4 linked regions of the Lonchura striata genome follow. The protein of the gene in region 1 interacts with the protein of each later gene in a pairwise test. Links are inferred from orthologs where the notes say so. Each region holds a gene or a part of one and is shown on either strand. Other genes may lie near its edges.

Region 1 (8,175 bases):
TAGATTTACCCCAGAGCTGGTGGCAGGAAAGTCTAGCAAACGTTAAGTGACAAAACTGATGTCTCTCTCTACTCAGAGATGATAAATGACACGAAAAGCCATGATGAAGTGTCAGGTACATTAAGGCCATGTGCTGCTGGGAGCACATCTGCACAGAGACCGTTCTGTCCCTGGGCCCAGCTCACCACAGGACCTGGGTGGTTGTGCTGGCACAGCTGAGATGGCTGTTGAGGGCAGAAGCTGTTGGGAACCAGCTGAGCACACCATGACTGATCTTCCTGCAGGTGCGAGGGCAGCTTTGGGCACGTTATCAGAAACTGAGGAGATGGCAAAGTATGGCTTTGTATTAGCAACATTCATGTAAAGAACAAGGTACCTAATTTTTAGAGGAACTTAGCAATTCAGCTGTGATTTGCAACTTAAGTTTAATGACCAGACAGATGAAAGAACTACAAGAAATCAGTACTAAAGGGTTCAGAAATTACACAGTGCCTTTTTACTGATTAAATTCCACAACTCAGCATTAGCACTTAAAAATGTCACCATACAATCAAATAATAAGCAGTTTGGTTAATAATTTAAATTAAATAAGTTGTAATTCTCCTATATAGCCAAAATTAAGCCCTGCACCTCTCTGAAGAGTGCAAGAACCTCCACCCACCACTCAGACTCATTCTCAGTTTAAATCAGAGTCCAGGAGATGGGACAGAGGATATAGGATGTTCCAATTGCTCAGAGACTGGACGAGTTTAAGATTTGCAGATGACAAAGGGCAAGTAATCCTGTTTCTCTGTACATGTGGATGATCCTTCATTATCTGTGGAGCAGGTGTTCAGAGGTGGGTCATGACTGCACTGGTGGGTAACACGAGGGTGTCACTGACCAGACAAGCCGTGGTACCTCCACCTGCAGCCCACTGCCGATGGTCCAACACCTCACCTGTGCCTCCATGCCTGTCCCCATGGCGCGGACCCAGCCCTCACCTGCGGGCAGCCTCCTCGATGCTCTCCCCGGGCTGCACCTTCCCCCCGAAGCCATTCCACAGCCCGGCGCCGAACCCGCGCTTCTTCATGCCCAGGAGGACGCGGGACGGCTGCACCACCAGGACTAGGGTGAAGAGTCTGGACGTGTGCATGGCTCCTGGGAGAGGGACGAGGCGGCGCGCTGTGCCAAGAGCTCCCGGCCCCCTTCGGAGGGAGCCGGGGGCGCACAGAGCCCCTCACGCCCAGCACCCCGCCCCAGTGCCCGGTCCCTCTATCGCTCCCACTGACCTCGCTTTCCTGCTACCTCAGCACCGCCTTCCCAAAGTTCGACCCCCCCTTCCCAAATCCTTGTTTCCCCACACCCCCGGGAATCCTGACCACCTTTAACACCCTCCTCTCCCAGCACCCCTTCTCCCAATCTTCGACCCCCTCCGCAAACCCCTGTCCCCCCAGATTATTCTCCGACCACCCTCAACACCCCTTCCCCTAATCCCTGCGCCCCTAGAAACCCCTCCCCAAATTCTAAATCCTTGCTGCTCCTAACCTCCCTCCCTGAATCCTTAACTCGCAGCTCCCCTTCCCCACATCATCGACCCCGACCCCGCGCGCACCTCAGCCCCACAGCCGCGGTTTCCCGCCCGCCGCGGTGTCCCCCTCAGCCGCGGCCCTTCCCGCGCCGCCGCCGCCCCGCCCGCGGCCGCCGTGAGGGGAGGCGGGACGGGGCGGGCCGCGGCGGCCATGGCGGCCGCGGGCGGCGCCGCCATTGCCGGGGGCAGGTGCGCGGCGGGGTCGCTGAGGCGACCCCACGCAGGGGATGGTGGCGTGTCGTTCGTGCCGGAGCTTCACTCGGGAATGGGTTAATGGGTGTTTGGGGTTTTAGGGTTATGCCGCCCGGCGGTTCCCGTGGCTGTTGGTTGCTCTGGCGGGAGCTGGCAGGAGCTCGGGCGTCCCTCCGATCCTCTGAGCGGTCGCGGGGGGCAGCGGCCCCGCTGAGGCAGCTCAGGAGTGCTGGGCTCACTCTGCCATGTCGTGTCCGTAAAACACCTGAGCAGAAGCTGGAGTGGGATCTCTTTCCCCCCTTAGCTCAGGATAACACGTGAGGCCTCATCCAAAATCTGACCCTGCTGTTGTGATAGGACCTGATAAGTAAAGGTGCCAAAAATCTCAAATTTAGGGGCTTCTTTTTAGAATCAGGGAATGGTTTGGGTTGGAAGGGACCTCTGGAGACCATCTAGCCAAATAACCCTTCCAAGGCAGGGTCACCTGGAGCAGGTGACATAGGAACGTGTCCAGCTGTAGTGAGAATCTCCCTACAGTGAGACTCCACACCCTCCCTGGCTGCCTGTAGTGGCTGGAATTAATTACTGTAGAGACTTCTGAAACACAGAGTGGTTATTTACTAACTTGCCTCTCTTCCTGGCTTTGCATGAGCAGGTGCCTGCACACCACAGTGAAGTTTCTGAGGAAAACTGGAGCTGAGCAGAGGTGGTTGGAGCGGCACTTGAAGGATCCCTTTGTCAAGGCATCGAAGCAACAGCATTACCGATGCCGGAGTGCCTTCAAGTTGCTGGAAACTGATGACAAGCTCCGTGTTCTTCGTCCAGGATTTTCTGTTCTTGACTGTGGAGCAGCACCTGGTGCTTGGAGCCAGGTTGCTGTACAGAGGGTCAATGCCTTAGGTACTGGTAAGTGCAATTTTTTGGCAGGCAAGATGGGGGTGATACTCCTCTTGATGAGTGTGACAGATCTGTGAAATACTATGGAATGTAAATTGAAATACTATGAAATCAAGGAAATATTATGATGGTAACAATGTGGGGAGGGGACATGGGTACTGGCAAGTGCCAGAGTCACTGATAAAAATATGAAAGGGTGAGCCTAGTAATTCTTCATATAGAAAAATTGTGTTTATGAAATAAAACATACCATGTGGTGCTAGTGATCTGATTAGCTGATTAGCTGTTGTCGGGAAGATCCCTTCATCCAGTTCTGAAATAGGTGTGACTTCTAGCAATTACCTTGGCTTATTTAAAATATTGTTTCCCTTCTCAAAAAATGGAAGCAACTTCTTTGCATGGTTTATATGGGTGAAGCCATTGATGTTTACAAAGTGAGGTGTTATCTGCAGCATTATCCAGGATTTCTGGACTGTCAGCCTTATAAGAGCAGCAGAAAACCAAAAAGAAGCCTCCTTGTTTATCCAAAGTAGCTGAGTTTTTGTGTCTTGAATGGATGAGATTATAGCAAATCCAGCAAACTGCCAGGGGAGGAGAAGGCAGCTGTGGCAGGTGGTGGGTTTTGTCTACTGACAGACACAGAGCTCGTGCATGTGCAGTTTTTTGCAGCCTCTCTGAGTGTTCCCTGTGTCATTCCTCCTTACAGATGCTGCTGTCCCCACTGGCTTCGTGCTTGGTGTTGACCTGCTGAGGATTTCTCCCCTGGAAGGAGCGGTTTTCCTGTCAGAGACTGACATGGCAGAGCCCAGCACGCTGAGGGCCATCCAGAGCCTGCTTCCCTTGGGGAAGGCAGATGTCATCCTGAGTGACATGGCACCCAACGCCACGGGCATCAAAGAGCTGGATCATCAGAAGCTGATCAGTCTGTGTTTAGGCCTTCTGGATATGTCCCAAAGCATTTTAAAGCCAAAAGGAACGATGCTCTGTAAATTCTGGGATGGATCCGAGGCCCGTCTGCTGCAAAACAGACTGAAGGAGCAGTTCCAGGATGTGAGAACTATAAAGCCTCAGGCCAGCCGGAAGGACTCTGCGGAATCTTATTACTTGGCAAGGCTGTACAGAGGGAAATGAAAGTCATGAGCTGCAGATTCTCTGACATGGATTGGAAATCTCAATTTAGTGGGTGTTGAAAGGAAAATCCCACCATTAAGACCTTGGGAAAATTTGTTGCTCTTCTTTAAGTCCATCAGGCTTTTCAAATACTTGCAGACAAAATGGTTGGGAATGGAGAGGAATAATCTGAAAGGCAAGCTCTGGGAATGGAGTAATGGAAATTAAAATAAAATGCTGATTATACGAGTTTTTAATGTGTGCCTGAAAATCATTGCACTGTTAATGCTGCCAGACATGAGACTGACCATAAAGGTGATCGTTAGAACGTGAGGAGAACATGAGCAAAGGGGAGTTTGAGCCAATTCAGTGCCTTTCAGAAGCTGGTGTGATTTATTAGCAGGTCACAGGTAAAAAATAGAAAATGTGTCTGTGCACATCAGGATCTGTCATGCATGGTGTGTAGCACAACCATGTGAGAGGCACGGCTGACTTGGGAATGTTCAGCCCCATGGCTCTGCTGCCTCTCCCACAGTACAGGTTATATTTAGGAGTTGCTGCCTCCTGGCACTCCTAAATCCCGTCAGTGCCAGTGGGACAGGGTCATGGCCACGCAGCTCATCTCCCCAGTGCTTTCTAGGTGTGGCCAGTGGTGTTTCTCAGGCGAAAAGACAAGATATTCCTAAGATCCCAGTAGGGAGAATGACTGAATTGCCAGAAATCTGCTTGCACAAATAAATTCAGCTGCTGCCTTATCTGAAAGCGACAAATTTCATATTAAACGCTGCTTTTATCGGGCTGACCGTGGCATGAGTTATATGAGAGGCTGTTTTGAAGACTCCAGGCCTTTCTCATCACCACCTTGGGGCTGCTGGCTGGATCCCTGCCGGAGCAGGAGGGCGCGGGGCGCTTTTTGGGGGTGCGGCCCGAGCTCTAAGCTTCACCGCCTCTTATCGGGGCATTACGGTAGCGCGCGGAGGGCTGCGCGCATAATGCCGCCCTTACGGCCCACGGCGCCGCCGCTCTCGCGAGAGGCGGGCGCGGAGTTCCCGCGAGACGCCGTGGCCGGGGTGAGGAGGGAGATCCAAGCGGGGCGCGCGGCGAGCGCTGAGGGAGGCACGGGGAAGGGGCGCGGACGGGGGAAACGGAGGGAAGGAGGCTCCGGCCGCGCCCGTCCCGCCCCGCTCTCCCCCAGGGGAGTCGTGCCGGCGAGCCCCTCGGTGCCCGGAGCTGCCCCGTGCCCGCCGCGGCCGCTCCCGGTGCTCGCTGCCCGCCGCGGGTCCCTGCGTACCCTGACGGGTTTCTGGAGCGGACCGGGTCACACACACCGAAGTGTCGTCGTAATCGCTGGGAGGTTTGGGAACGGGCTTGCTGGAGCTGCCTGCCGGCAGGTGCGTTTAGTTCTCCAGAGCTCGGTTTGGGTTTTGGCAGATCTGTTGGTTCTGCGCCGCTCTTATGCTTCCTGCTCGTGATGCTGTAAATACAAACAGTAACTGCTGTGTAACCCCGGGAGTGCAGGAGCCCCGAGGCAGCCCCAGGTCTCTGTCTGTGCTGCATCCATGGGGATGTTGTGGCTGCCCTTCCTGGTCCTGGACCTTTTCCGGTGTTCCTGGGGATTTATGGAGCGTGCAGTCACTGGAGGGACTCACCTGAGGTTTCCTGAAATCTGGGGAACCTTGGAGCCTTTCCTGAGTGAGCACCATGCTTGATTTCTCTTTGGCCTTTTAGTTAGTACGCTTCTAAATTGGGAGGAAAAGCTGTATCTCATTATATAAATAATTCGATGCAGTTTCACTTATACAAGTGATCAGTGGATTTGGGAAGACTTGTTGGAAATTAGAGTCCAAAGTGCTTCTGGGAAACCAGAGACAAGTTGTGTAGCAGGAAGGGTTTGCTGCTACTGTGGAGTTAGTTCTTCTCCCATCAGATTCAAAAATTAGGGGGAAGAAAAATGAGTTTGGTTTGGTCAGAGAAGAAGATGCTGTCTTGCATCTTTTTCTCATTTCAGAGGAAATTACAATGTCAGCCTGGATCATGTTTTCTGTGGATCCCAGCAGTGCAGATTGCAGATTGATTCTTACCCTGTAAATGGGAAGACCTCGTGTTTAGTCTTTCCTCAGGGCAGTGATGGATCCCTCTTTAGCAGAGCATCTTGCTCTGAGTGTTTTGCTGATGATTTTCTGTCTATTTCCAGAGCCATGGAGGACTTGGAAAATAATACCACTGTCTTCTCCACCCTGAGATCCCTCAACAACTTCATTTCACAGCGAATGGAGGGAGTGTCTGGGCTGGCTACACCTGGATCTAGTCAAAGCTCCTTACAGATGCAGTACCAGCAGAGGATGCAGGTGAGGAGTCCTCATCTTGGTGATTCCTGCAGCACCACTTCAGTGTGGCCATGTGCTCCTTTTGATTCTAGGAGCTGGGAATTTCATTCAGTTCTGACCGTTCATTCTGAAACTGACACAAACAAATAAAGGAAGCTTGCTGCCACCGTTCTGGAATATTTTTAGAATATATTTAATTTTTTTACAGTGTCAGTTTTATTTCTGTTTTATAAAAGTTTAAGAAAGGTTCTTTGAATTTATTCCCTGCTAGTTATATCTGTATAGCAGCTCAGGAAATTAAATTATGAGTTGTTTTCATAATGCTGAACAAAGGAGCTTTATACTTTAACATTTTTTCTGGTAAGACACTTTGTTACCTTTTTTCAGGATTTAAAGGCTTCTTTGCCTGGACACATACAGGAGACTTGCATTGAGCTGTGGCTTTGATATGCAAACCAGTTGTGCTTTCTTATCCACCTGAGTTATTTACTTTTTTTTTTGCTGTTAGCTGCTTCAGGCTCATAAAGCATAAAGTAAATTGACAATCTTAGATCCCAGGAACTGTTTATTAGGCTGCAAGGAAGTATCTCTATTCTGTATCTTAATATAATTTCTATTTCAGTCTCCAAGTAAAAAAATGTTTGCTTCTTTTTAATGTAAATCTGCTTTGCATTTGGAACGTTGACAAAAGTTTAAGCTTCTGTCTGTGCTACATCTCTGGTGGCAGCAGTAGTTGCAGGAGGCTTTCTGGTTAGTCTCCATCTGCTGTGTGTTGGATGTACATCATCAGGATGTGAGTAGTTCTTATAGTATTGTCTGTGCTCTCAGGTAATTTGACTGAAAAAATGAAGTGGAACGTTGTAGAGGTTGTGGAAAAATGTGTTATTTTGCTCAGCAGTTAGTTTTATTTGGAGCATGATCTGTGCTTCTTAGGCTTGGAGAATTCATAATTAGCTTTTTAGATAAAGTAGATTTTGTCAGACTACATCTAGAGATTGAGCAATTCTGATTTAGGAACCAGGAATTAGTTTCTTTCCAATTCACCTTGATTTGGTGTGGGTCTCTGAGCATGGTGTTGAACTCTTTGTTTCCCCATCTACAGCTGGTGTGAGAAGTGCCACAAATGTGGTGATAGTTTGTAAAATGGCAAGTTAGTGTCAGCGAGCAGTACAGGGCACCATGATACTGTTGTGCTGTTAATGGTGTGCAATGTCCCTTCTCACACATGAACTGGCCAGCTGGAGGAACAGGCTGGGCAGATCCACTCCAAATCCCAGCTGCTGCAGGTGGAACGGGAGAAGATGCAGATGGAGCTGAGCCACAAACGAGCTCGCATCGAGCTGGAGAAGGCAGCTAATACCAATGCCAGGAACTATGAGGTGAGTGGATGTCTGCTCATGGCTTGGGAGCATGGCCTAAGCCAGAACACATGGAGAGCATTTACATCAATGATTTGGGTCAGGGATGTGCTTTGGTGTGCAGTGTCTGTCTCAGAATGTGTATAGTTACTCTTTGGAGTGAAACCAAGCTGAAAGGTGCATTCCAGGAGCAAGCCTGGTGTTCTCCAACTGCTAATGGACACTGTCTTCAGAGCAGGACTTCAGTGACTCTGGAATGCATTTATTGTGTTTGCATTTACTGCGGGCGTGGCTGTCAAGTTGCCAGCACCAATGCATCTACAGAACTGCTCTGCAGGTCCGCTCTCAGTGCACTGCACTAACTTGCTAATGTGCGCAAGAGTGTGGTCTTGAATCCTCGTTATGTTCACAGACTGATGATCTGATCACTGGATTCTGTTAGCTTAGCACTGAAATTGTCATAGGTAGCAGTAACAAAAGGGATTTGTTATATGTTTCTCCCAGAAGTATTTAATAATTTTTCTCCTAGAGGGTTTAAACTTCTGCTGGCACAATTGCAAGCATTTAGTTTGTGTGACTGTAATTAATTGGAATGGCAGCAGTTCCAGCCATGCAGTGTCACGCAAGAGAGCCTGCACTGATAAAACACTGAGCCTCACTCAGGGCCTAATAGCTTTTATTGGGTTCTGCTTTTCTGCCCACGTATGTTTGTGTAACGATG
Region 2 (7,254 bases), on another chromosome or scaffold:
TGAGAGACCAGCAGAAATGCTCTGGAAAAGCAACAAAGCCTGGAGCTGAACAAGCTTGGACACGTTGGGAGATTCCTGATGTTTGGGGTGGCTTGAGAGGGTGTCCTGTTGTTAAGCTTTGCTGGAGCTGCCCCAGCAGGAAGCTGGGACATGAGGACACAAAACATGCACTTATACAGGCTTTTGGAGACCTCCAGGTCTAGACACACTAAGGAGAAAATCTTCAGGGAAGCCACATGTAAATCTTGGGTCACTTCCAGAAGCTGGAAGTCCAGAGTGAAGTGCTGCTACCAGACACTTGACTCTGCTGCTATTACAGCGTATAAAAATGGGAACAGGGCTGTGACAAACTGACTGTGCCAAAGCCCAAGCGACTTAAAGCACACTGCACCAGGAGAAGTGGCAGCAGGCAGCCCAGGAGAGCTGGAACTCCTGGATCCCTGGTAGTGCACCAGGTACCAAGGAAGAGGCTGTGCAGCCATGGAGCTCCTGTGTCACTGCAACAGAGCCTGCCTGAGGCCTTGTTATGTAAAAGATATGGTTAGCACTGCTCACGGTCCGCTTTTCACGTCACCCGCGGCCACACCACGGTGCTAATTGGACTGGATCACAGGTAATTGGCAAGAACACTTAATAGTCTTAATTTATTCACTGAGATGGAGACCATCAAAGGTACAAAGTCAATTGGGAGCCTCAATTCTGTTTGGGCATTTGGGAAAAAAAGGAGGAAAAAAAGGAAAAATAACTCCCCTTCTACTGTCTCCCATGATAGATGTGCAATATTGCTGTCCTCTAACATCGTCTCATTAGTGGGACATGCACAAAACTTGTTCTGGGTAATTTGTCTGGCTTGTCTGAGGGCCCAGTCACCACCCAGTGCAGAAGGCAGTGGAACCCTTTCAGATGCAGCAGGACCCAGCCTCCAAGCCTTTTCAAGTGCATTTCCCACACCACCAAAGGGTGTTGCCAGTTCTGATGGGAGGGTGAGTTTGTAGAAGCAAGTAGAGCGCAACCAATTTGCAGCAAAACCAGTCATATAAACACCCTCTTAACATCAAGCATCTGGGGAGATGGTGAGCTTTTGGGGCTGGGGGAGATTATCTTGGGGGCAAGAAGGATTAAGAGAGTTTGGCAGCTGGTCATAGTACTGGCATTTAGCAGAGGGGCCAGTGAGGTTTTGTAAGAGGGACAGGGAGGAGGAGGGGTTTTCTGGGTCAGCTGCATGGAAAAGGCATGCAGCCTTTTTTCCTCAATGTAGTGAGAGGGAAGCAGCCCTCTGCAGCTGCATACTTTGTTAGTGCTGATTTGCAAAGACATCTTCACATAACCATAAACACTACAGATGGGAATCTGCTTCTAGGTCAACCCAGTCCATCCACAGCACCACAGCACTTCCATGTACACTGTTTTCAAGTGACTACAGATTTAAGTTTGATGGAAGGTTTAATCCCAGGGTTCAGAAAAGAATGCCACTATTGCTTAGCTGTTTAATCTGCTAACACGAAGAGCTACGGTCAACCTTAACGTAACATCCCTGGGGACAAAGGATGAACATGATCCTTATTAGCTGCACTAAATTGCAAACAGTATGTCCATTAAAAAACCCATCAATATTTACAGCAGCCCCACTGAACATTAACATTCTCCAGTAATAACTTGTAATGCTCTAATGACATAGAGGTACCTCTTAATTTATGGTTATAAAACTAAGCTCAGGAAGTTGCGCTCCATCACACAGTATTACAATCCTGTCATAGCGCCCAGGTGAGGTGCTCACAGCCCCATCTGAGCCGCCTGCAGCTGCACGTAGCAGCGGGATCTCCACGCAACTCGATGGATACAAACAAACCAGCAACTGGTGTCTCAACCGGAGCAGTGCCGGCTGCACTGTGATTTCATGAAAGGCACGTCAGGTTCTGCTGCGACTCGTGTCAAATGACACTTTATCAGACATGGTGCAAGCCACTGCCATCCTGGTACTCACCCTAAAAGGCTGGTCCGGTATAAATGGAAAGTAAGGAATAGACGACTGCTCTTCCCCCCATTCTCCGGCTACACAAGAGTTTCTGACAAACTGTCTCTCTGTAAACACAGCTTTCAGTTCTATGGCTACATCCGCAGGAGGATCTTCTGACTCCCCACAAGTCAGACTGATGCCAAAGCTGCAACACAAACAGAACAGCTCTCATTCAGCCAGAAAAAAAAGCAAACAAGCCCCAAATGCCACCAGTCTTATTTCTCAGCTTATTATAGCCATGTAGTGGCACAGGCTGGAAGACAGCTCAGCTCATTCAGAGCTCTCTGAAAGCTCAGCAGGGACAACAACATGGTTATGGAGTACATATGTGTGTGTGTGCAAGGCGTTGGGCATATATTTGTACATATATGCAGATATATATGCTTGATATGCTTCACTCCCCAGTGAAAACGGAATCCCTTGAAGAAATGCCCCCTCTATGGGTCAAAGGAGAAACCAGCATGCTATATTTAAAATGATAAAAATAATCCTTTCCAGAAAGCAGGGATCCGTGCGGATGTGTGTGTGTGTACGTGCGGGTGGCCGCCCCGCTTCGCCCCCTCCCCAGCACCGGCAGTCCTGTGCAGGTGTTACCTCTCGGGGTTGAGGTCCACTATGCCCATGACCAAGATCTTCTTTCCCGGCCTCATTCCTCCTTTGATGTGCCCGCAGAAGGGGACGATCTGGAAAGGACGGGCGGAAGGTGGTGAGGGTCAGCTCGGCATCACCAGCGGCCGGAGCTGAGCGGGGGCGGGGGACAGTAAAGGCATTGACAAAATAAAACACACCACCAAAAAAAAAACAAAAAACAAAACAAAACAAAAAAAAAAAAACGAAGAAAGGTGATTTACCAGGCGAGGGAAGTACACATCAGCCTGCACCGGAGATCCCAGCGAGTTGTTTAAATGCCCGTCCTCTATTTTCTGCAGGTGAGAAGGAGAGCGCTGAGGCAGGGCCGGCGGAGCCCCCAGCCCGCCCCGCTCCGCGGGAGCCCTGCCCGGCGCCCGGCCCCGTCCCGGCCCCGTCCCGGCCCCGTCCCGGCCCCGTCCCGGCCCCGTCCCGGTGCCACGGCCGCACTCACCAGCGCGTCCCGCTCCGCCACGGTCCCCGCCATCTTGTGGAAGCGGCGGCGCTGGGGACAGGGCGGGGGAGAGGGAGGGAGGGAGGGATGGAGGGAGGGAGGGGGCTCTGTGGCGGCCCCGGCGGCGGAGGGGTAGCGGCCGAGCCGGAGCGGAGCCGCTGCAGAAGTAGGCAGGCGAGGAGGAGGAGGAGGAGGAGGAGGAGGAGGAGGAGGAGGAGGAGGGGAGGTGGCCGGCGGCCGGCTGGCACTGCCTCGCCCGGCGGGGAGCCCAGCCCTCGGCCCGAGGGGAGCCGGGCAGGGCGGGGCGGGGGCTGCCGCCCTGCTCCGCTCGCAGCCCCGCGGCGGGGCCGGCCCTCAGCGGGCGGGCAGAGCGCGGCCCCGCCGGGCCCTCACCTGGCGCCTGCAGGTGATGGCTGCCGGGGGAGGGGCCGCAGCAGCCCCGCGCCCGTCGTGTCAGGGATCGCCTTTCTGTCCGGGCTCGCACGCCTCGGCGAAGAGAATGTGCCGAGCCGGGCGTCCTAGGTGGCTCCCTTCCTCCAGAGGTGTTGGGGGGACGCTGCTCCGAAATGAGCCTCCACGCCTCTCCCCTCCGTGCCCCGTGGCGAGGAGCCCTCAGGGGGTGAGGCCCCGAGCGGGGTCGGTGGGCAGAGCCCCGAGGTGCGGGAGTGACTCCGTGCCGGCCGGTGCTGCCCCGGGCCCGCCGTGCCCGCAGCCTCCGGCGAGCTGCGGGCAGTGCATAAGCCGGGCCGTGCCCGTGAGCTCCCGCTGACACGCCGTGCCCGCGGGTGTGCAACGCGGCGGGGTCTGCGGTGTGCCCTCTGCGGTGTGCCCTCTGCGGTGTGTGTGCCCTCTGCGGTGTGCCCTCTGCAGTGTGCCCTCTGCGGTGTGCCCTCTGTGGTGTCCCCTCTGCGGGTGTCCCTCTGCGGTGTGCCTCTGCAGTGTGCCCTCTGCGGGTGTCCTTTCTGCGGGTGTGCCCTCTGCAGTGTGCCCTCTGCGGTGTGCCCTCTGCGGTGTGCCCTCTGCGGTGTGCCCTCTGTGGTGCCCCTCTGCGGTGTGCCCTCTGCGGTGTGCCCTCTGTGGTGTCCCCACTGTGGTGTGCCCTCTGCGGGTGTCCCTTCTGCGGTGTGCCCTCTGCGGTGTGCCCTCTGCGGTATCCCTTCTGTAGTGTGCCCTCTGCGGTGTGCCCTCTGCGGTGTGCCCTCTGCGGTGTGCCCTCTGTGGGTGTGCCCTCTGCGGTGTCCCCTCTGCGGTGTGCCCTCTGCGGTGTCCCCTCTGCGGTGTGCCCTCTGCGGTGTCCCTTCTGCGGGTGTCCCTTCTGCGGTGTCCCTTCTGCGGGTGTCCCCTCTGCGGTGTCCCCTCTGCGGGTGTCCCTTCTGCGGGTGTCCCTTCTGCGGTGTCCCTCTGCGGGTGTGCCCTCTGCGGTGTCCCCTCTGCGGTGTCCCCTCTGCGGTGTGCCCTCTGCGGTGTCCTTTCTGCGGGTGTCCCTTCTGCGGGTGCCCCACTCTGCGGCAGCTCGGCCACCACCGGCCCTGCTCGTGCCTCACCTGGACCACAGCAGGGGTGACCCGCCCCGCCGAACGCGCTGTCATGGTCCTTTTGATGAGTTCAAGGTCTTGGGAATTGAGGAAGGCTTTCTTGTCGCTTGGGATTTGATGGCATGAGCATCCCCTTAGGAACGTGACACAGCAACTGGAATTGGCCTGTGCTCTGCAGGAGCTCACACAGGGACTGGGCTTTTTGTGGCTCTTGCTTGCACACTGGGCTGGGTTGGTGAGTGTCCTCGTCCTTCCTTCCTCCGAGGCACTGTCAGGGTTAATTACATTGGGTAAAGTGGAGTGGGGGAAGCAAAGTCACTGCAATATTTAGGGTTTCAATATGATGGTGTCTGTTGGGAAACACCTGCAATCAGTAGGTGATGCCATTTGGGAAATCGAGAGGTACTGAGTGTAAAGAACAGATTGTGCAAGTGTTTAGCTGTGGCTATTTTTTCAGTAGTGCCCACTAATTTGGGCATGTTTTCCTCTCTGGATGCCCAGTTGGAGATGGCTCATAGAAGCTCATGTTTGGAAGTCACGTACTGAAGTCATGGCTCCTTCAGGGTGTACCAGCACAGCTGGGCAAGAGGCAGCGAGCATCCCTGTGGCCCAGGTCTCGGCATGGGAGAACCACTGGACTGTTTTCTTCTTGCCAAAACCCTGAATGTCTCATCACCACATGGAAAAGCATCTTGCTAGAGAATGAATTTGTAAATAGTGCAGTAACATGAACCCATCACACATGAGAAACAACTGGCTTTACAGTGGTCAGGTGAGTGCATTCACAAGTTTACCACAAAGTGGAACTGGAATTAGCTTGATGTGTTTCACCTCCTGTATGCTGCTCACCTCACCGTGATGATGATGCCAACTGCATTATGTTATCTTTTTCTGTTGGCCGAAGAGAGAACAGAAATCATCCTAAGCTTTTTTTTTTTTTTTTTTTTCAGTTGTATGGTGTTACATGTTATCCAAAAAGCTCTTTTCAGAACCCTTTGTCTTCTCTGCTGTACAGAGAGACACTTTGTTGGATAAAATTAAATTCATTGGACATAAAATCAGGCCAGCCAGTTGTTTGTGCCAAAGAACGATGTTTTATGAAGGGAGAGGCCATCATTATGTATCTATTTTGTAGCTGCTTTTAAATGAACTTTTTCATTTCAAAACAATTAAATAACAAGACTTGTCCATTTGGCTAGCTGCTTTGCCTTGTGCTTGTCTTTTTGGCATGTTTTCCCAAAACTAGCACAAATGCAGCATTTGTTTTGTTGGCCATGGACTGACTGGAACAACCCGCACTATTAAATTTTGATGGAAAAGGACATTCATAAGTTTTTAAAGCTCTGGTGGCCTGTGCCTCTGTGTTTCTGTGCCGTGTTATCCTCATAGCCTGAAACAGTCCAGGAGGACACCAAAATCTTTCTCTGTATACCATGAACAGTGTGAGGCAACCAGAGAGGAGCTCTGCCTCGGTGTGCTGCCGTCCTGCCTGTGGGATGGTCACTCCTGTAGGGAGGTGTTCTCCAGCAGAAGATTTCCTGCATTGCCCAGCAGTCCATGGAGCAGGATTCCACCATGTTTCTCACCCATGGAGGAGCTTCCTTGGGACCCAGCTTCCCAGGAAATCCCCCTCTGCAAACAGCTGCAGGGTGAGTGCTGCACCTAAGCTCCTCTGCTTGTTCTTCTGAAAATGTAGACATCTGAGCCAAATCTGTTCCTTCACCCATGTAGTGCTTGTAAAATCCTGTACAAAATAGCCCCCAATCAGTATTTTTAACAGCTTTCTTGGCAGGGAAGCTCTTGAGTTATCCTGCTTGAGGGTCTGAGCTTGCAGACCTTGTGGTAGTAGCTGGGGCAACATAAATATTTGTGCACCACTGAAATGGTGCTGAAGTACAAGCTACTAAACTTGTCTCGTTGGCCAAGTGCAAAAAACCTTGTGGACAGGTATTGTCTTTCATTTCTGGGTTCGTACAGCCTTTTGCTCAGTGGGAGCCTGGGACTCTTGAAATGCAGAGAATCATGTAAAGATTAAAAAGAAGTGGCATGGTGTGAACACCATTTGGGAGCAATTAATGACATGCCCAGCCACCAAAGCCATTGCTGAGAACTGGCAAACCCAGAACTTCATCTTAATCCCAGCACCTTGTATCTTGCAGCCACTCCCTTTGATGATTTAAAAAGGTGTATCTAATTCTTAGCTGGCCTTCACTGGCAAGGAATGCAGTACGATTGCAAATTTGGTGTGGTATAATTACCCTGCCTTTCTTGCCCCATTACCACTGACATTACTCTCCTCATGCCTGGGTTTATAGGCTGACTTGTAGAACCTCTCTGGTTTGTTTTGCTTTTTTAATGACAATGTTGAGAGGATGGGAGGTGTTTGCTGGTTTCATGGAAGCTTCCTTTGGTTTCTGGGTGGCAAGGCACCCCACTCCTGGTTTTTGTAAGACTCGGAAAAAGCTGAGTAATACAATAAAGGAGAATGTTTGGGAATACATGTGATTCAGTGGTTGGAGCCAAGTGTTTAACAGTTAGAGGAAGTGCTCCTTTCAGGATTACACCTGAATGGCAGTGCTGATAAACAATTATTTGGATTGCACAGTGGTTTTGGGTTTTTT
Region 3 (7,935 bases), on another chromosome or scaffold:
GATTTGTCAAATCCTAATAACAGCATTAAAAAAAATTCAAAAATTACAGGGGTTTGAGCTGTCTTATCAATTACATAAAAAATGTCCAAATTTTAAACTTGATATTTTAACCTCTCACTTAGACTGTAATGTATAATGGTCAACATAAATACGTTCTACGTACCTGTTGTACTGCAAATGCTTTTTTAAATTTTTACTTAGAAAGTCCTTGTAAAAGTCAGCCATTTCTTCTGCATTCAGTGTTGCTTTTTGACCTGAAAATAGGTTTTGGTGTAACAAAGTCAAGGCAATTCTTTGGATCAAGACTGTGGGTTCAGATGCTAGGTCTAACTCCTTACTCCTACAAGCTTTCTGTTAAACCTCAACAAGTTAATAATATGTCTTTAACTTTCAACCTTTTAAAACTTATCTAGAGAGCACAGCAGATGAAAAATACTGATCATCTTGAAGTTGGCATAGCTCTTAAACACCCATCACTTGTGGAAGTAACAAAGTTTACCAGCTCTTAGACTACTTAGGGAACCAGTGAACCCTATTAAAATGTGCATAGATCTAGGAGTATCTATCCTTTGAATAAAATAATTTCTCACAGTCTGAAGCCTAAAGAGTACCAATAAGAGCATTTAGTAACAATTTCCCCCCTAAAGCAAGTCCATAAATATCAAAAGAACACTATCCACAATTGACATGGTATTTTCAAATGTAATTCTTTTTATATTGCTGTTAATAAATTTCAAGTAACTGCAGGCAAAAAGTTTATGTTCTGAGATGTCAGATTCCAAACAATCTAGTAGGCAATTATTTTGAGAAGAAGGAAATACAAAAGATGATTTTGAATATGTCACCCATAAGCAGAATATAAAAGGTCCAGGAAGACCTATGGCTACAGCATAAGATGTCTAATCCTGAGAACCAGCAAATATTCTCAATTCTACCAGACAATTCCTACACAACCCTTCTGGCACAAAATGTCCCTAAAATGACAGTCAAATTTCAATGCCCTAGAGAACATGGATATGATGAGGGAAATGGAATTGCAATATTCAACTTGTTACAGTTCCAAAATACATTTTAAGGCTCTTGAGATTGACCACAGAAATGTAAATTACTGATTGGTTCTATTTGTCATTATTTAAAAACTAATATATCACAATGTATTAACAGACAATGGGACAAATTAACTATAAAACCATTTGAAGGCTGCCAGTTTAATACTTATAGTTCATTTGTTTCTTCATACTGGTATCAGCAAAACTGATTAATTACATAGGAAAGCAAGTTTCATTCACTCTTCATTAATATTTTCACAAACATTCACAGCTATATTATAGAACAGCTGACCAAAGGCATGCATCTGATATAGATTTATTTTTACTGGAAGTATGTGGTCTTTTACTTCTAGAGTATAAAAGCAAAACAAAAAACCTAACAAAAAAGCAATATAAAAGAAGTGGTTTTGAAACAACATATATCTTAATTAAAATTACTTCTCAAGCACACACTGATCACCAGAATACAAACAGAAAAGAAAAATAATGGTCTGTGACATACAGAACCTCAAAGCAGATGCTTCCCTGAACTCAAACAGATCATTATTCCGTGAACAAAGTGTTCAACCTCATACCACAATGCCCAATTCACGATTATTATGAAGGCATTTTGTTTTCATTTTCGCATAATGAATTAGAGAGACAACTATTTTACAGCAACTGTGCCCAGGCAGAGACAGGCAGATAGCAGCTGCCAGCTCCCCAGAAGCTGCCTTACACTCCCTCAAGGAAAAATATTGCATTCATTGGACACACCACGGACCTGAAGCCAAAGACTCTGAATTTAACCGCCCAGCCATAACATGCACTTGAGGCAAATGCTCTGTATGTTTATGTCAGCCAGCTCACTGGCTTAGGAGGTGTGAAAGTAAAAAATCCTTCCCTCCTTAGGCTACATTATTATATCACTGGGCTAGGATTTCAGAACATTCCTTCTGGCTGTGGGGAAGGAATTAGGGGGAGAGAGTGCAACAAATGATCTGACCCCCACATGCACATCTCTGAAAAGCTCCTTGTCTCTCTTATTATCACACTCCTGAAAACATTTCTAAATCCTACCCCTAAGATTTACTTGTGGCAGAACACAAAGAGCATAAACTAACAAAATTCAAAGTTAAACAAAATTCAGAATGCATCCTAAACTATTAACAAAGATCTCACTAACCTGATTCATCTCTCATTTCCAGACCCTTGGCTTTCAGTCTTGAATAAATAAATTCTTCTTTTTCCTAAAACACGTTTTTCCACATTAGAATGGGATGCAGTCAGTCCTTGAAGTTAACCATTGTTTTTAATTACATAGCAATGTCGTGTTCAACACCCTTTGAAATAACTAGCAATACTCGTTACACTTGGAAGTGTCAACTGAACACTTTTCTTAGTCCAGTGAGTTAGTTAAAACTGGTCACTTTGCTCCTGCTACCTGCATGCATCAATTAATGCAAATGTCCTACTGATACTTATAAAACTGATTTGTGAAGTAAAGCTACAGACAAACTTCAGTGCTGTTCGACAGGAGTCAAACTTTCAGTTTATATAAACTATGGAATGTGCTGTATGACATAACTGAGATTTTGAGCATAGAGGAAAAGGTGCAGCCTAAAAAAATTAAAACTATTTAGATGGAAGCACAATAATCATTTGTGTGTGTTTCATGGACTTAAACAGTTTTTTTAATACCACAGTTATGTGGTATTAAAAAAAAAAAAAACAAGATTCATTTTGTTCTGGGATCTTTGCAAGTTTTGAGAGGATATGATGTTCAACATCATAAACAGTGGTGAGTTACTGAACTGTTACTGTTCTTCCAAAAAATGCCACATTGGCTGGGAGATGCTAAAATCAGGAAAGACACTCACTTTAGCCTTGCTAAGATACGCTGCCAATGAAATGGGACATATTATTTACCCTCATTTAGTCTTTGTAATTACACCAAATTTCTCTCACTTATGACAAGAGAAAAGCCAGCCATGGAATAATTTTCATCAGCTGCTCTAGTCAGAGACAGGTCTTGCATGTAGGGCAGCTACAACTTTATACTTTCAGTGCAAGACAGGAAAAAGGTAAACACTCTATGCCCCTAGGCAGCAATAAAACGTGGACTTCTTAGTTTTGTGCATCATTTAAATAAATGAACGACAAACCCGCCATTTCCTGCATGACCCTGAGCGCATTAACAGCGGGCAGAGCTGCGCCCCACCTCAGAGAGGCCGAGCCCCCCAGTTTCGGGCAGGCAGGCGGGTGCTGAGCAGCAGCAGCAGCAGCAGGTGCGAGGCTGTGCTCACCTGGTGGAAGGCGCGGTTGTGCCGTGCCCAGAAGCGCTGGTTGCTGGCCTGGGCCTCCTGGCGCGCCTCCCGCAGCCGCCGCTCCAGCGCCGACTCCTCGGGGGGCACGTAGAAGATGATGGGGCGCAGGTTGGAGAGCTTGTCCGGGGGACCGATCCAGTCGCTGTGCGAGTGCGCGGGGGGACGGAAACCCGGGCCCTGTGGAACACAGACACAAGGTGTGAGCAGCACCGCCGCAGAGCTGCTGAAGAACGTCTCAACTCGGAATGAATGCCCAAACGCCTCGGAACCTTAAAGCGTGCAAGCGTAGCAAGTTCAGAAATAAAGCACATTTGTTTACTGTGACCACAAACAATGGCATACATTTACAATTTACTTTTACTTACAAATGCACTACAAGACCTTTAACTCTTACCATGAGCATAAATCGTGAGATATCTTTTTCTGTTTTAATTTTTCTACCACTGATACTCTGTTAAAGTATTTCACGGAGGGAACTAGCAAGTAAGTATCCAAGTTTTTTACAACGCTGATCTCTGCCCTCTGGTGACCAATGACAGCACCCGAGGGAACAGGGTGAAGCTGTGTCAGGGGAAGTTTAGGCTGGATATTAAAGGCTCTTCACCCAGAGGTCATGGTCACCGGAACAGACTCCCCAGGGATAGGGTCACGGCCCCAAGCATGACAAGCTCAAGGAGTTTTTGGACAACGCTCTCAATGGTCCGATTCTTAGAGCTGCTCTGTGCAGGGCCAGGAATGGGATTTCGGTGATCCTTGTGGGGGCCTTGAAACTCAGCGTATTTTATAATTCTACGATTCTAAGTTTTCCTCAGCCCGGTGTTCTTCCTGCTTTCATGTGCCCACACACAGGCGTGTGCCTGCCCCAGCCGGGTTCAGGAACACCTGGCGTTAGCCAACAGCCCGAACCTCAGCGCCCCTCCAACAGCCAACACCGGGAGCCTCCACAAACACATCGAAAACCAGAGGCCGCGGGCACCGCGGTTTGCCACGGCCGCCCCCGCCCCGCCGGCGTTCCCGGGAGGAGCGGAGCGCTCCCCACGCAGGGCTCCGCGGGGCTTCCCCCGCAGGAGCTGCCGCCCCCCGCCGGGTTTACCACGCTGTCCGGCCGCTCGGAGGAGGAGGAGGAGGCGGCGGAGGAGCGGGAGCGGCGGCGGTAACAGCCCCCGGCCCGCAGCCCGCGGGCGGCCGCCATGGCCCGGCGCTTTCCGGCGCCGCCGCGCGGGGGCCGCGGGCGGGGCGGGGCTCGGTCGGGGCCGGGCCCGGAGCCGCCTCGGCCTCCGCCTCCCCGTGCGCGGCCGGGCCGGGCGGGGCTCGGGCGCTGCGCGGCGCTCGGCCCGTGGCGCAGCGCCGGGCCGGGCAGCGGGGCCTCGCCGGGCGGCGGGTGAGTGAGGGAGCGGCTGCGGCGGGTCGCGGGCGCCGCGCGGGTTCGCTGCGGGGCCGGTGGGGACGGGCCTCCCGCAGGTGCCTCGGCGGCGGCCCGGTGTCGTTTCCTCTTCGCGGTGCGCCGGGCCCCTCCGCGGGGGAGGCGGGAGGTTGCGGCCATGGAGGGGGCGGCGAGTCCTGAGGGGCAGCAAGGTGTGTGCGGGAAGGAGCGCTGCTCGGCGGGTGCGGCGGCCGGGTTCGGCCGGGTTCGGCCGCTGTTCCCCCCCTCGCTGCGGGCTCTCCCCTGGGCTGCGGGTGCCCTGTTTGATCTGCGGCGGCTGCAGCTGCAGAGCAGGTGGGGAAGGCAGGGCGGAAGGCTGGGGGTGAACATCCTAGAGCTGGGCGTGTGGCAACTAAAGCGTCCCCCCTTTGGAAAGGTGTGGAAAAATTAAAGGGTTGTGAAACATCAGCCAAGTGGTTTATTTGTATTGGTGAAGATACTTAAAATAGCTGTAATGCTGAAGTGCTTCAGAATGTAAAAGTTGCGATGTGTGCTCGTGTAGCGCTTAAGTCTTGTTATCGTTTTCCTTGTAGTTCATCTGAAGCTGGACGAGCGAAGAGGAATGGATATGGGTAACCAACACCCATCCATAAAACGGTTACAAGAAATCCAGAAAGAAGTCAAAGAGATTGAACAGCAAGTGGCTGGCTTCAGCGGTCTGTCCACCGACCGAGATTACAAGAAATTGGAAAGAAGCCTTACGAAACAGCTGTTTGAAATAGATTCTGTAGACACCGAAGGGAAGGGGGATATTCAGCAAGCCAGAAAGCGAGCTGCCCAGGAAACTGAGAGGCTGCTGAAGGAACTGGAACAAAATGCAAACCATCCGCGCAGACTGGAAATAGAGGCTTTATTCAAGGAGGCACAGTCACTTGTGGAACGCGAGATCACGGCTTCTTACAAAGGAGGAAACCGTATAAGTGATGAATTTGAAGAAGGAATTCAGGACATTGTGCTGAGGCTTACACAGGTGAAAACTGGAGGCAAAGTTTCTCTACGCAAAGCGAGATACCGCACTCTGACAAAGATATGTGCTGTTCAGGAGATTATAGAGAGTGGTCTAAAGCAACAGCTGTCCCTGCCACTCTCTAATGATGCTCATCCTTCTGTCTCCAAAATTAACTCTGTAATGTGTGAAGTGAACAAAGCCAGAGGAACTCTCATTGCACTTCTAATGGGAGTGAGTAGTAATGATACCTGCAGGCATCTGTCCTGTGTGCTCACAGGCCTCATTGCTGATTTGGATGCTTTAGATGTCTGCGGTCGCACGGAAATAAGAAACTACAGAAAGGAAGTAGTAGAAGAGATCAATAAATTGCAGAAATACCTGGACTTGGATGAAGAAGCAGATTCTAGTCATGCTTATGATTTGGCAAAAAATCAGTCTATTCTAAAAATAGAAGAGATCCGTAAGAAGATGAAGGAAGTTCATTCCTTACTTCTAAAAACAGAGAATGCTTCTGATTTGTATCTGGGATCCAAAGCAGAGTTGCAGGGACTAATTGCCCACCTAGATGAAGTGAGTCCAGGAAAAAATCCCTGTATTAGAGAGGCCAGGAGAAGAGCAGTAATTGAAGTTCAGACTCTTATAACATATATTGATTTGAAGGAAGCATTGGAAAAAAGGCAAATGTATCCAGAGCAAACTGCTGCTGAACATCAGTCTCATAAAGCAGTTTGGACTGTACTTGGAAACTTGTCTCAAATTCAGAAAGAGGTGATTTCATTTGATGGAAACAGAACAGATAAAAATTACATGAGACTGGAAGAACTTCTTACAAAACAACTTCTAGCCCTGGATGCTGTTGATCCGCAAGGTGATGAGCGGTGTAAGGCTGCTAGGAAGCAGGCAGTAAAGCTTGCACAGAATATTCTTTACTATCTGGACATGAAAACAGATGAATGGGAATACTGAAACAGCCATGGCCTGATACAGAAGAACATTTTTCCCTTTGGCACTTTATGAAGATCATTGGCAGCACATAATAAAGTCTTCTGTGCTTGCTGAAATCATGGAAATTGCATAAGCAGTTGACTTGGCTATATGTCTGCTATCCCACGCAGTCACCCACTTGCCATGGCAACTGTCAGTACACCATCAGCAATTCTGGTCACTGATATAAGCAAAGTGCAATTCTCTGAAGGAATAGCTTAATACTTGATCAAATAGCTTCTTCTTTTTTCTCTTTTTCTTTCTTGTTTTTATTTCAATTGCCTTGTGCAATGTTTAGTGAATGCAGGCTTTTCAAAGACACAGAAACTTCCTTACGGTACAGTACTGGCAAAACTATTTAAGGAGACTTGAAAATTAGTGAACGTGAAAATTAGTATTCAGGCATGAGGCTCCATCCAGCAACTTCACAGCAGTCTGGATGTACTGTTAATGTGCTGTCATGACATAAAGTTCTAAGGACAAAAAGCCTGCTGGCTTTTGGATTGTACTTGATTTTTCCCATCCATCATGCCATCTAGATATCTCAGTTAATGGAGCTGTAATGCCAGCTGCAAATTAGCATTTACATAGGCAAAGCCAATTATGTCAATTTTTGTAATACCTGAGACCTTTGATTTGCAAAACCAGGTCTTTTGTTGGTGGAAATTCTTTCAAGTTATTGCTTTAAGGTACTGAGACTTGGAGAGGAAAATCTGTACGTTTATACCAAACACATAAAGGGGATTTTGAGGATTTCAAACTGCCATCCATAAACCCTTGAAAACTGCACTGAACTTTATTTAGGCTAATTAGGTGTCTTTTTAAACTCTGCTGTTGCATCTGGTTTTCACATTTGGCGAAAACATAAAAAGAGACTTCACTTTGAAGTGAAATGTGCATTTTGGAATTATTTTTGTAAATTAGGTAGCCAGCTATAAAGATGTCACTAATGATATAAGTGTGTGCTACATGGTCAGGTGTGGCTTCAAGCATGTCTTGGAAAGATTGGTGGCAAATGTCTCTCTTTGCAACTCATTCACTTGTTTTAGAATAAGCTTGCTTGTACTGTTGTATGCACCTACCTTTTTATTTGTGGCTGCTAGTGCCAATCACATTTCTACTATAGCATGTTTTTTGGCATTTTTTGAGAGCATGGCATTAAAATGATTTGAGTATATATAGATATATATAAAGAATATAGATATATATAAAGATATATTCAGT
Region 4 (7,365 bases), on another chromosome or scaffold:
TGCACCCAAGAGAATCTTTGAAAATCAGAGAATCTGACTTAGCTTTAGGCTGCCTGGAAGTGAAAACATAACAATGTGGAAATATAACACGGACTCTATACTGTGACTTTCAGTAAGAAGTTGAAAAGTCACATTGGGGAGGTTTCTCATCAGCCATATAGGGACCAAGCACTTCTAATGGTCAACATCTGTAGAAAACATCATTGTCTCCAGATCCATTCCTACACTCCACAAAAAATGAACTTGAAGAATCATAGTGGCTAGCATTTCACAAATTATACTCCATTCTGTTTCCCTATCTTTCCTTGTCTCAAAACCTCTAGAGTCCTTGGCCAGTCTGCACCATGATCATCTCTGCACCTTTCTTCCCACCGTGCCCAAGGTTCTTTGGCTCTTCTTGAGATGCTGGGACCAGGGCTGCATAAGCTATTTGACACAGAACTGGGTAACATGACCATGCAACCACTTCCTTTGCTCTTTATTCATCTCAGTGGTTCTAATACTTGATCAGCTTTTGTCTAAGCAATGACGTAGCATCTTTATAGAGCTATTTACTGCCCATCTGTTCGTTTTGAATGGTAAAAGCCAACTCTGAGCCCACTGCTGTACAAAGAAAATCAGTTTGTCTTACTCCAGAAAATTAGTGTTGTGCACTGGGTTTTCTCTAGTATCACACAAATACTGCAAATGCATTTTTAAGATATTCATGTAGGAGTAATTTGTATTCATGGCATTTTAAAAATATGCTGAACAATACAATGATGGTCTGTTTCTTGTTCAAGTCAAAGAAAATTACAAAATTCAACAAAGATCCTATATACACACCTTTTAATACACTACAGCTTAGCAATAATAAAAAATGCCAGATTTGGTTTAATTCTAAAAACTCCAAACCACTTTCTCTAATATTCTTCAGCAAGGCTGATGAACAGAATCTAAACCTACAAGAATTAACACCGAGAGTTAGGACCTAAGAAGCTGCAGCATCATCAAACAACTCTTGAGACATATCCTAACAGCGTACCCTGGTGCTGAAGTGCAGCAACTCTTTGAGACGTAGTGCAGTGAGAAGTGTAGCCCCCCTGCTCAAGATACCAAACTTTCTAGCAACTACTGGAACTGTGCCAAAACAACCTGTGCCTCAAGCAAAAAGGCCTTGAAGTGGTGCTGCCCCTGTGCACAATGAGAGACCTCTGGGTCTCTCATTGTGGGGCCAGCCAGGAGAGCACTGAGGCACTCGGAGCCACTGCAGGAGCCAAGGACTCAGCAGGATGAACCCAGACTATGGCACACTTAAGACTGCAAGGGTATAAAAGCTCAGAGATTTGGTTGTTCAGGACCCCTCCTTGGAGGCACCCAGCTCAAACTGACTTCGTGTTCTGCACCATGATTAAACTATTGTAAGGATTCAGATGTCTCTGACTCTTCCATGGAAAACCTGGGGTCAAGCTGGAAAGGGAAGCTTGTCTGAGTGTGAGTGTTGTGTATAGGGAACCAAGCAGAGCACACACTGGCTCACTGGAGCTGCTCTCCACAAAAGGCTCCAGTGCCAGCAGTGAGAGCCTCGTGTGGTGGGAGTGCATCCTGGGTTGGGGACTGTGCTTCCTGAATGATCAGCCAGGAGAGTTTCCTTAACCCTGCCACTGGAGTTTTTCAAGATATGACTGAACAGAGGACTAAATAATCTCACCTAGGCTGCCTTTCCCACAAGGGGTTGGACCAAGTGATCTTTCAAGGTCTTTCCAGCCAGGGCTGTTCTATGATTCTAAGCCAGTGGCATTGGCCCAGGCAACTTGCTGTACAAGGGGCACCAGCTGAGAAGGAAAGGTAAAGTAGGATAACAGTGCCCTACATAAGCTTTTCTTCTGTTAAGTGCATTTTCTGAACATCCAAGAGGTTGAACTGAGCAAAGGTGAAGTTTGAGTAAAGCAACAAACATCCTAACAACATCAACAAACTTTTGCAGGGCAGTGTGACTCGTTGTTACTAAGTTAATTTCCTTTCAACTGCTTGTCAAAAGGGGGGGAAATCGCTGAAGGGAACTTTTATTGCCAAGAAATGGTTCCATAAAGGAGATGCCCACATGATATATTACATAAAATCCTCTCTCTTTCTGCTTTGCCTTGAGAAAAGGCATCACTGCTCTGTCAGCATCAGGCTAATCAGGTCATTTGCCCACTACATTTTTTCTGACAATATCTTTGCCCAGAAAGATTTGACTGCTGCTTACCCTAGCCTTCCTTTTGTCAAAAGCCTATCATCACAACCTCATCCTCTTTCCACAGTATTTCTCTTACACTTCTCTTACACTTCCCTTAAACCCCAAAAACAAGCCATGTCACTTAAGTGATGTGCCATTTGTGACTTCAGCATTCACTCTACCTACAAGTGACAACCTGAATCATCACAAATACCAAAACCAGGCAGATTTTGAACAAAATGCACCAGGATTAGCATGGGTCTCCAAGTCACAGCATCTCTACCAAAGCACCTGAGAGTGGGAGCCTCCTAATTCTTGTCTTACAGTACAGTAACATATCACCAGGCACAAAACTGACCCTATGAAATCAGGCTCCCACTTCTTAACACATGCACACAACTTCAAGTTATTATCAGTCTATGACCAGAATGTTGCAATGGAGGGATACAGACTCTTTAGGAAAGATGGGCCATAAGACAAGGAGAAGTTATCGCCTTTTAAGTCTCATTTAAGGAAAGGCTGAGAGCTGGGTCTGTTCAGCCGGGGAGTGAGGGTGGTGCCATCTTATCAATGTATAAAAGATCTGAAGCGAGACGGTAAAGACTCCGGCTCTTTCCAAAAGTGTAAGCACAGAAATACATAATAAGTGAAATACCAAGAGGATCAATACCACAAGTGGCAAAACGCACGAAACCGGGTGGGTGCCACGCAGGAGTTCCAGACTGCGTCCCGCCACCGTCGGTGCCGCAGCCCAGCTGCCCTAGGCACAGAGGGGCTCTCCCTCGGCCTCCCCGCCTGCGGCCGCCGCGGCCAGGCCGCCTTCAGGAGCGCACCGACCCGCGCAGCACCCAGCGCCAAGCCCAGGGAACGGCGAGGTGCTGAGCAGCCCGGGCAAGGCCGGGCAAGGCCGGCGACCCCACCTGTGCCGGCAGCGCCGCCCGCTCCCGCCGCTCCCGGCCGCGCTCGCCCGCCGCCCCGGACGCCATCCGCCATCCGCACCGCCCGCCGGAAACCGCGCGGGCCGTACGGCAGCGCCGCCCGACACTGTCGTGAACAGCGCCCCGGGGGGGCGGGGTGGGGCGGCTGCGGCGGCGCCCGACTGCGGGGCACGGGGGACAGCGGGGATGGCCGGGATAGCGGGGACAGCGGGGATAGGGGGATAGCGGGGATAGCGGGGCACGGGGGACAGCGGGGATAGGGGGATAGCGGGGATAGCGGGGGATAGCGGGGATAGCGGGGCACGGGGGACAGCGGGGATGGCCGGGATAGCGGGGACAGCGGGGATAGGGGAATAGCGGGGATAGCGGGGCACGGGGGACAGCGGGGATGGCCGGGATAGCGGGGACAGCAGGGATAGGGGGATAGCGGGGATAGCGGGAACAGCGGGGATAGGGGGATAGCGGGGATAGCCGGGCACGGGGGAACAGCGGGGATAGCCGGGCACGGCGGGGACCTCCCGGAGCCGGGGTCTGGCACGGCTCGGCCCCTCAGCCCCTCTGTTCTCGCTCGGTTCATGGCAGGGTTATAGAGTCATGGAATGTCCTGAGCTGGAAGGGACCCACATGGATCATCAATGCCCAGCTCCTACGCAGGACCATCCCCAAGAACCACACCGTCTGATTCTTGTGAGAGCGTTGTCCAAATGCTTCTTGAACTCTGTCAGGCTTGGTGCTGTGACCACTTCCCTGGGGAGCCTGTTCCAGTGCCCAACCACCCTCTGGGTGAAGAACCTTTTCTCAGTATCCAACTTGAACTTCCCCTGGCTGAGCTGCACGCCTGTTTCCTCGGCTCTGTCACTGCTCACCATAGAGCAGAGATCAGTGCCTGCCGCTCCTCTTCCTCTCACAAGGAAGCTGCAGACCGTGATGAGGTCTCCCCTCAGTATCCTCCAGGCTGAACACACCAAGTGCCCTCAGTCGTTCCTCAAATGGCTCCTCCAGTCCCTTCACCATCTTCATTGCCCTCCTTTGGGCAGTCTCTAACAGCTTTGTGTCTGTTTTACATTGTGACACCCAGCACTGGAGGTGAGGCTGCCCCAGTGCAGAGCAGGACAATCCCCTCCCTTGCCCAGCTGGCCATGCTGTGCCTGATGCCCCCCAGGACAGGGTTGGCCCTCCTGGCTGCCAGGGCACTGCTGGCTCATGTTCAGCTTGCCACACACCAGAACCCCCAGGTCCCTTTCCATGGTGCTGCTTTCCAGCCTCAGTCTGTCCCAGTCTGTCTGCACATCCAGGGTTGCCCCATCCCACGCACCCAGGTGGGTTCCCCACACCTTGCTCAGAGCTCACCAGCATCACAGGTGGAAGTCCCAGCAAAGACCATGTCCTGGCACAGCAGCTTATTGGAACCCTGTGCTACCTGACCAACAGGACCACACAGTCCTGCAATGGGCATTAAGGAAACTTCCCTGTGCAGCCGCCCGGAAGCCTCTCCAGCAGTCACACTCACACCACCTGAGCTGCCCTGGCAGCTACACACCCCACAGTCAGACAAGGCTTCCTTACTGGCTCAACCCCAGGTTTCCCACAGCAAAGTCTCTGACGTCTCAATCCTTAAAATAGTTTAATCACAATACCACAACAAAATGACAACTTGAGCTGGGTGTCTTCAAGGAGGGACCCCAAGTGAAGAAATCTCAGGGCTCTTACACCCTCACAAGCACAGTCCAAGCAGAGCCATGTCTAGAACCCTTGGCTCCTTCCATGTCCCGGAGTGTCCAGGCACCTGGCTGGCACCACAAGTCCCTGTACCCTTTGGCAGTTTCAGAGTCTCTTGCCTCAGGCTCAGGCTTCTCCCCAGTACTCAGCCTGCAGCTGCACACTGAGCACTAAATGCAATCCTCAGCACTGGGGATACTGACATCCAGGCTCATCCCTCCTGCTGGGCTGAAATTCCCTTGCACAGACCCTAGCCTGCTTGTCCAGACTGGCATTAATGAGAGCAAACAAGGGAACGTGGCCTGAAAGATGCTCACAGGTTCAGGTGCTCTGCAGTGCCCAGTGCTCCCCATTGCTGTGAACACCTCCAGGTGATTTTCCAGACACTTTCTTACCTGTTTTCAGCCAGTTCAGTGCATCCATGTTAGACTGTGACCTCTGTAATGTCAGGGTGCTGGCTGCCCAGAATGTGCACGGGTGAGCAGAGGGAAATGCAAAAGCAGGTGTGTTCAACCATTTGGAAGTTGCAGCTGGTCAACACCATTTGACAGGGCTTCTTTGCCTCTGGTGAAACAAATGTTTATCTGGGACATAATTTCTTTGGGATGAGATCAGAGCATTATTAATGTGTCTGACACCAAACGTGTCCACAGCTGCCAAGTAATATTATTTAGGCCAAGGTCTGAGTGAAGATCTTGGGTAATTTGTTAGCTATTTGCATGGGACAGTATGTTTTTAAAGTGGTAACAGTAATTTAATCATCATCTCCATGGTGGTATTAAATGTGTAAATTAAATTTGCACAATTGTTCAATTTATGCTGACAGTTAACAGCATCTCAAGAAAAACCTGCTGTAGATCACCACAGGTATAGAATGATAACTGATAGACTTTCATAGGCACCATTTGGAAAAGCAGCATGTGAAACCTCTTCAGGGAGCCATTTACAGAGGAAACAGATGGATACAGAAGATGTTCCAGCAGGATTGACTAATGCTACTTCCAGTCCTTGGCTATATACAGCAAAGTACACTGCTTGAAAGAGGAGAAGCAAGAAAAGAGCATGTTTGCCCCATTAAGGAAAGCCTCTTCTCTGATTGTGATGTGCTCTTCTCACCAACAAATTGGTTTCTTTCCATCCCAGTGCTACCACTTGTTCCAGGCAGCCAGCAGAGTATCTCAAGTGGGTGCTCTCTAACTCGCTCAGCACACAGCCAGGCATATGGGCTTAATAGATTTGTATTAAATCTAAACAGAAAATTGATAGTCCATGAGCTGAGCCAACTACTTGTGACTGAATCAGTTTAGGAAGTATTTGAAAATGCGAACAGAAAGTCTGGAGACTGTGGCATAGTGTGAATAGTGACAGATGTGGACAATTTGGGAGTGAGAACAGGGAATGTATTTTCTACAGCAGAAAGTTACAGACAAAGAAGAGGATTCAAAGCACAGGGTGAGCTCTTGCATTGTTAGGTGCCATTCTTCAAACCTGTAACCCTCCATGTCATTAATAGGGTGGTTCTGTAAATTTTAATTTAAAATGATTTTCTAATACTCCTGGTTTTAGGAAAGAAACTATGACACAAATATGCTCTAGAATCTGAAGAACAGTAAAACCTAGAAAGTTATATCTGAGGGCTGCCTTTAATTTTGAAGTCAGTGGTTAGGGAAATGGTGGCATAATTTAATTTCATTTCCTCTCCTTTTTTTGAGAAAAGTATTTTCTTAAATGGAGCAGGTAAAAACTAAAGTTTACCCTTATTTCTTTGAAGATATTGGTATGTCTGAGAGCTCTTCACATGCTCAGAAATCTTCAGTGAGCCTAGAGAGATACTTCTTGGTATACCACTTTTAATGGTCAGCTGGGCACCTCTGCTCAGTTGTCTAATTCTCTGTGCCAAAATCAAAAGGCTAACAAAACAGTAATACCCTGGATATACTGATTTTTATGAACTTCAGGGAGGAACTGACCTTTCCTAGTGAAGTATTATTTTCCATTTAATGGCACATTTTACACTTTTTCTGAAAGAAATTGGTCACTCTCCAACTGATGTGTGTTATAAACCTCCATGCTTTTAACTTTCACTACGTGCTTTAACTCTCAGCTTGTTTTATTTTTATTTCAAAAAGGTTAAAAAAAAATCCTCTCTACTCAGTGTGATACTGTGCAGTTTTCTTTAAACTAGATGCAAGGTTTCACTAGGGAAAAGAGTTGTTTTTTGTTTTTTCCTGAGAAAACAAAATCTTTTCCCACTGTGATGCTGGAGAGCATTTCTTACCTCAGTTACAACAACACATTATGAAGTCCTCATACTAAAGAAAAACATTATCCAGTAAGATCATAGTAAGAGGACAGAAAGGGGACACACCCCAGTCAAAATGTACTTAGTTTCAGTTAATTCTCATTCTGTTCATTTTTAAAACCACCTAGTTTTCAGTTGCCATTGGTACTATCAAGCCGTCCTTTACATCCAGTTCTGAGGGATTACTTAGAAGGGAATTGTCATTG

Evidence for each region.
Region 2: the proteins of MAD1L1 (region 1) and LGALSL interact in binary tests that used the Homo sapiens proteins (3 or more experiments, as listed by UniProt). The two-hybrid records come from large-scale screens. The link is inferred for Lonchura striata from reciprocal best matches to the Homo sapiens genes MAD1L1 and LGALSL.
Region 3: the proteins of MAD1L1 (region 1) and BAG5 interact in binary tests that used the Homo sapiens proteins (3 or more experiments, as listed by UniProt). The two-hybrid records come from large-scale screens. The link is inferred for Lonchura striata from reciprocal best matches to the Homo sapiens genes MAD1L1 and BAG5.
Region 4: the proteins of MAD1L1 (region 1) and CWF19L2 interact in binary tests that used the Homo sapiens proteins (3 or more experiments, as listed by UniProt). The two-hybrid records come from large-scale screens. The link is inferred for Lonchura striata from reciprocal best matches to the Homo sapiens genes MAD1L1 and CWF19L2.

The regions. Positions count from the first base shown.
Region 1 is NC_134618.1:13,417,777-13,425,951, reverse strand, and holds the start of MAD1L1 (mitotic spindle assembly checkpoint protein MAD1), read left to right. Parts: upstream 1-4,810; 5' UTR 4,811-4,839; intron 4,840-4,901; exon of another isoform or gene 4,902-5,160; intron 5,161-5,434; exon of another isoform or gene 5,435-5,461; intron 5,462-5,963; 5' UTR 5,964-5,967; coding exon 5,968-6,117; intron 6,118-7,334; coding exon 7,335-7,475; intron 7,476-8,175. Other genes in the region: NUDT1 (oxidized purine nucleoside triphosphate hydrolase), read right to left, coding at 984-1,135; MRM2 (rRNA methyltransferase 2, mitochondrial), read left to right, coding at 1,722-1,759, 2,418-2,668, 3,366-3,790. UniProt on the Homo sapiens protein: Component of the spindle-assembly checkpoint that prevents the onset of anaphase until all chromosomes are properly aligned at the metaphase plate.
Region 2 is NC_134605.1:1,265,784-1,273,037, reverse strand, and holds the start of LGALSL (galectin-related protein), read right to left. Parts: upstream 3,174-7,254; 5' UTR 3,132-3,173; coding exon 3,099-3,131; intron 2,941-3,098; coding exon 2,869-2,940; intron 2,701-2,868; coding exon 2,612-2,700; intron 2,163-2,611; coding exon 1,985-2,162; intron 1-1,984. UniProt on the Homo sapiens protein: Does not bind lactose, and may not bind carbohydrates.
Region 3 is NC_134608.1:10,005,030-10,012,964, forward strand, and holds the start of BAG5 (BAG family molecular chaperone regulator 5), read left to right. Parts: upstream 1-4,664; 5' UTR 4,665-4,736; intron 4,737-5,311; 5' UTR 5,312-5,340; coding exon 5,341-6,693; 3' UTR 6,694-7,935. Other genes in the region: COA8 (cytochrome c oxidase assembly factor 8), read right to left, coding at 164-254, 2,215-2,278, 3,335-3,532, 4,449-4,547. UniProt on the Homo sapiens protein: Co-chaperone for HSP/HSP70 proteins. It functions as a nucleotide-exchange factor promoting the release of ADP from HSP70, thereby activating HSP70-mediated protein refolding.
Region 4 is NC_134604.1:44,165,901-44,173,265, forward strand, and holds the start of CWF19L2 (CWF19-like protein 2), read right to left. Parts: upstream 3,196-7,365; 5' UTR 3,187-3,195; coding exon 3,121-3,186; intron 1-3,120.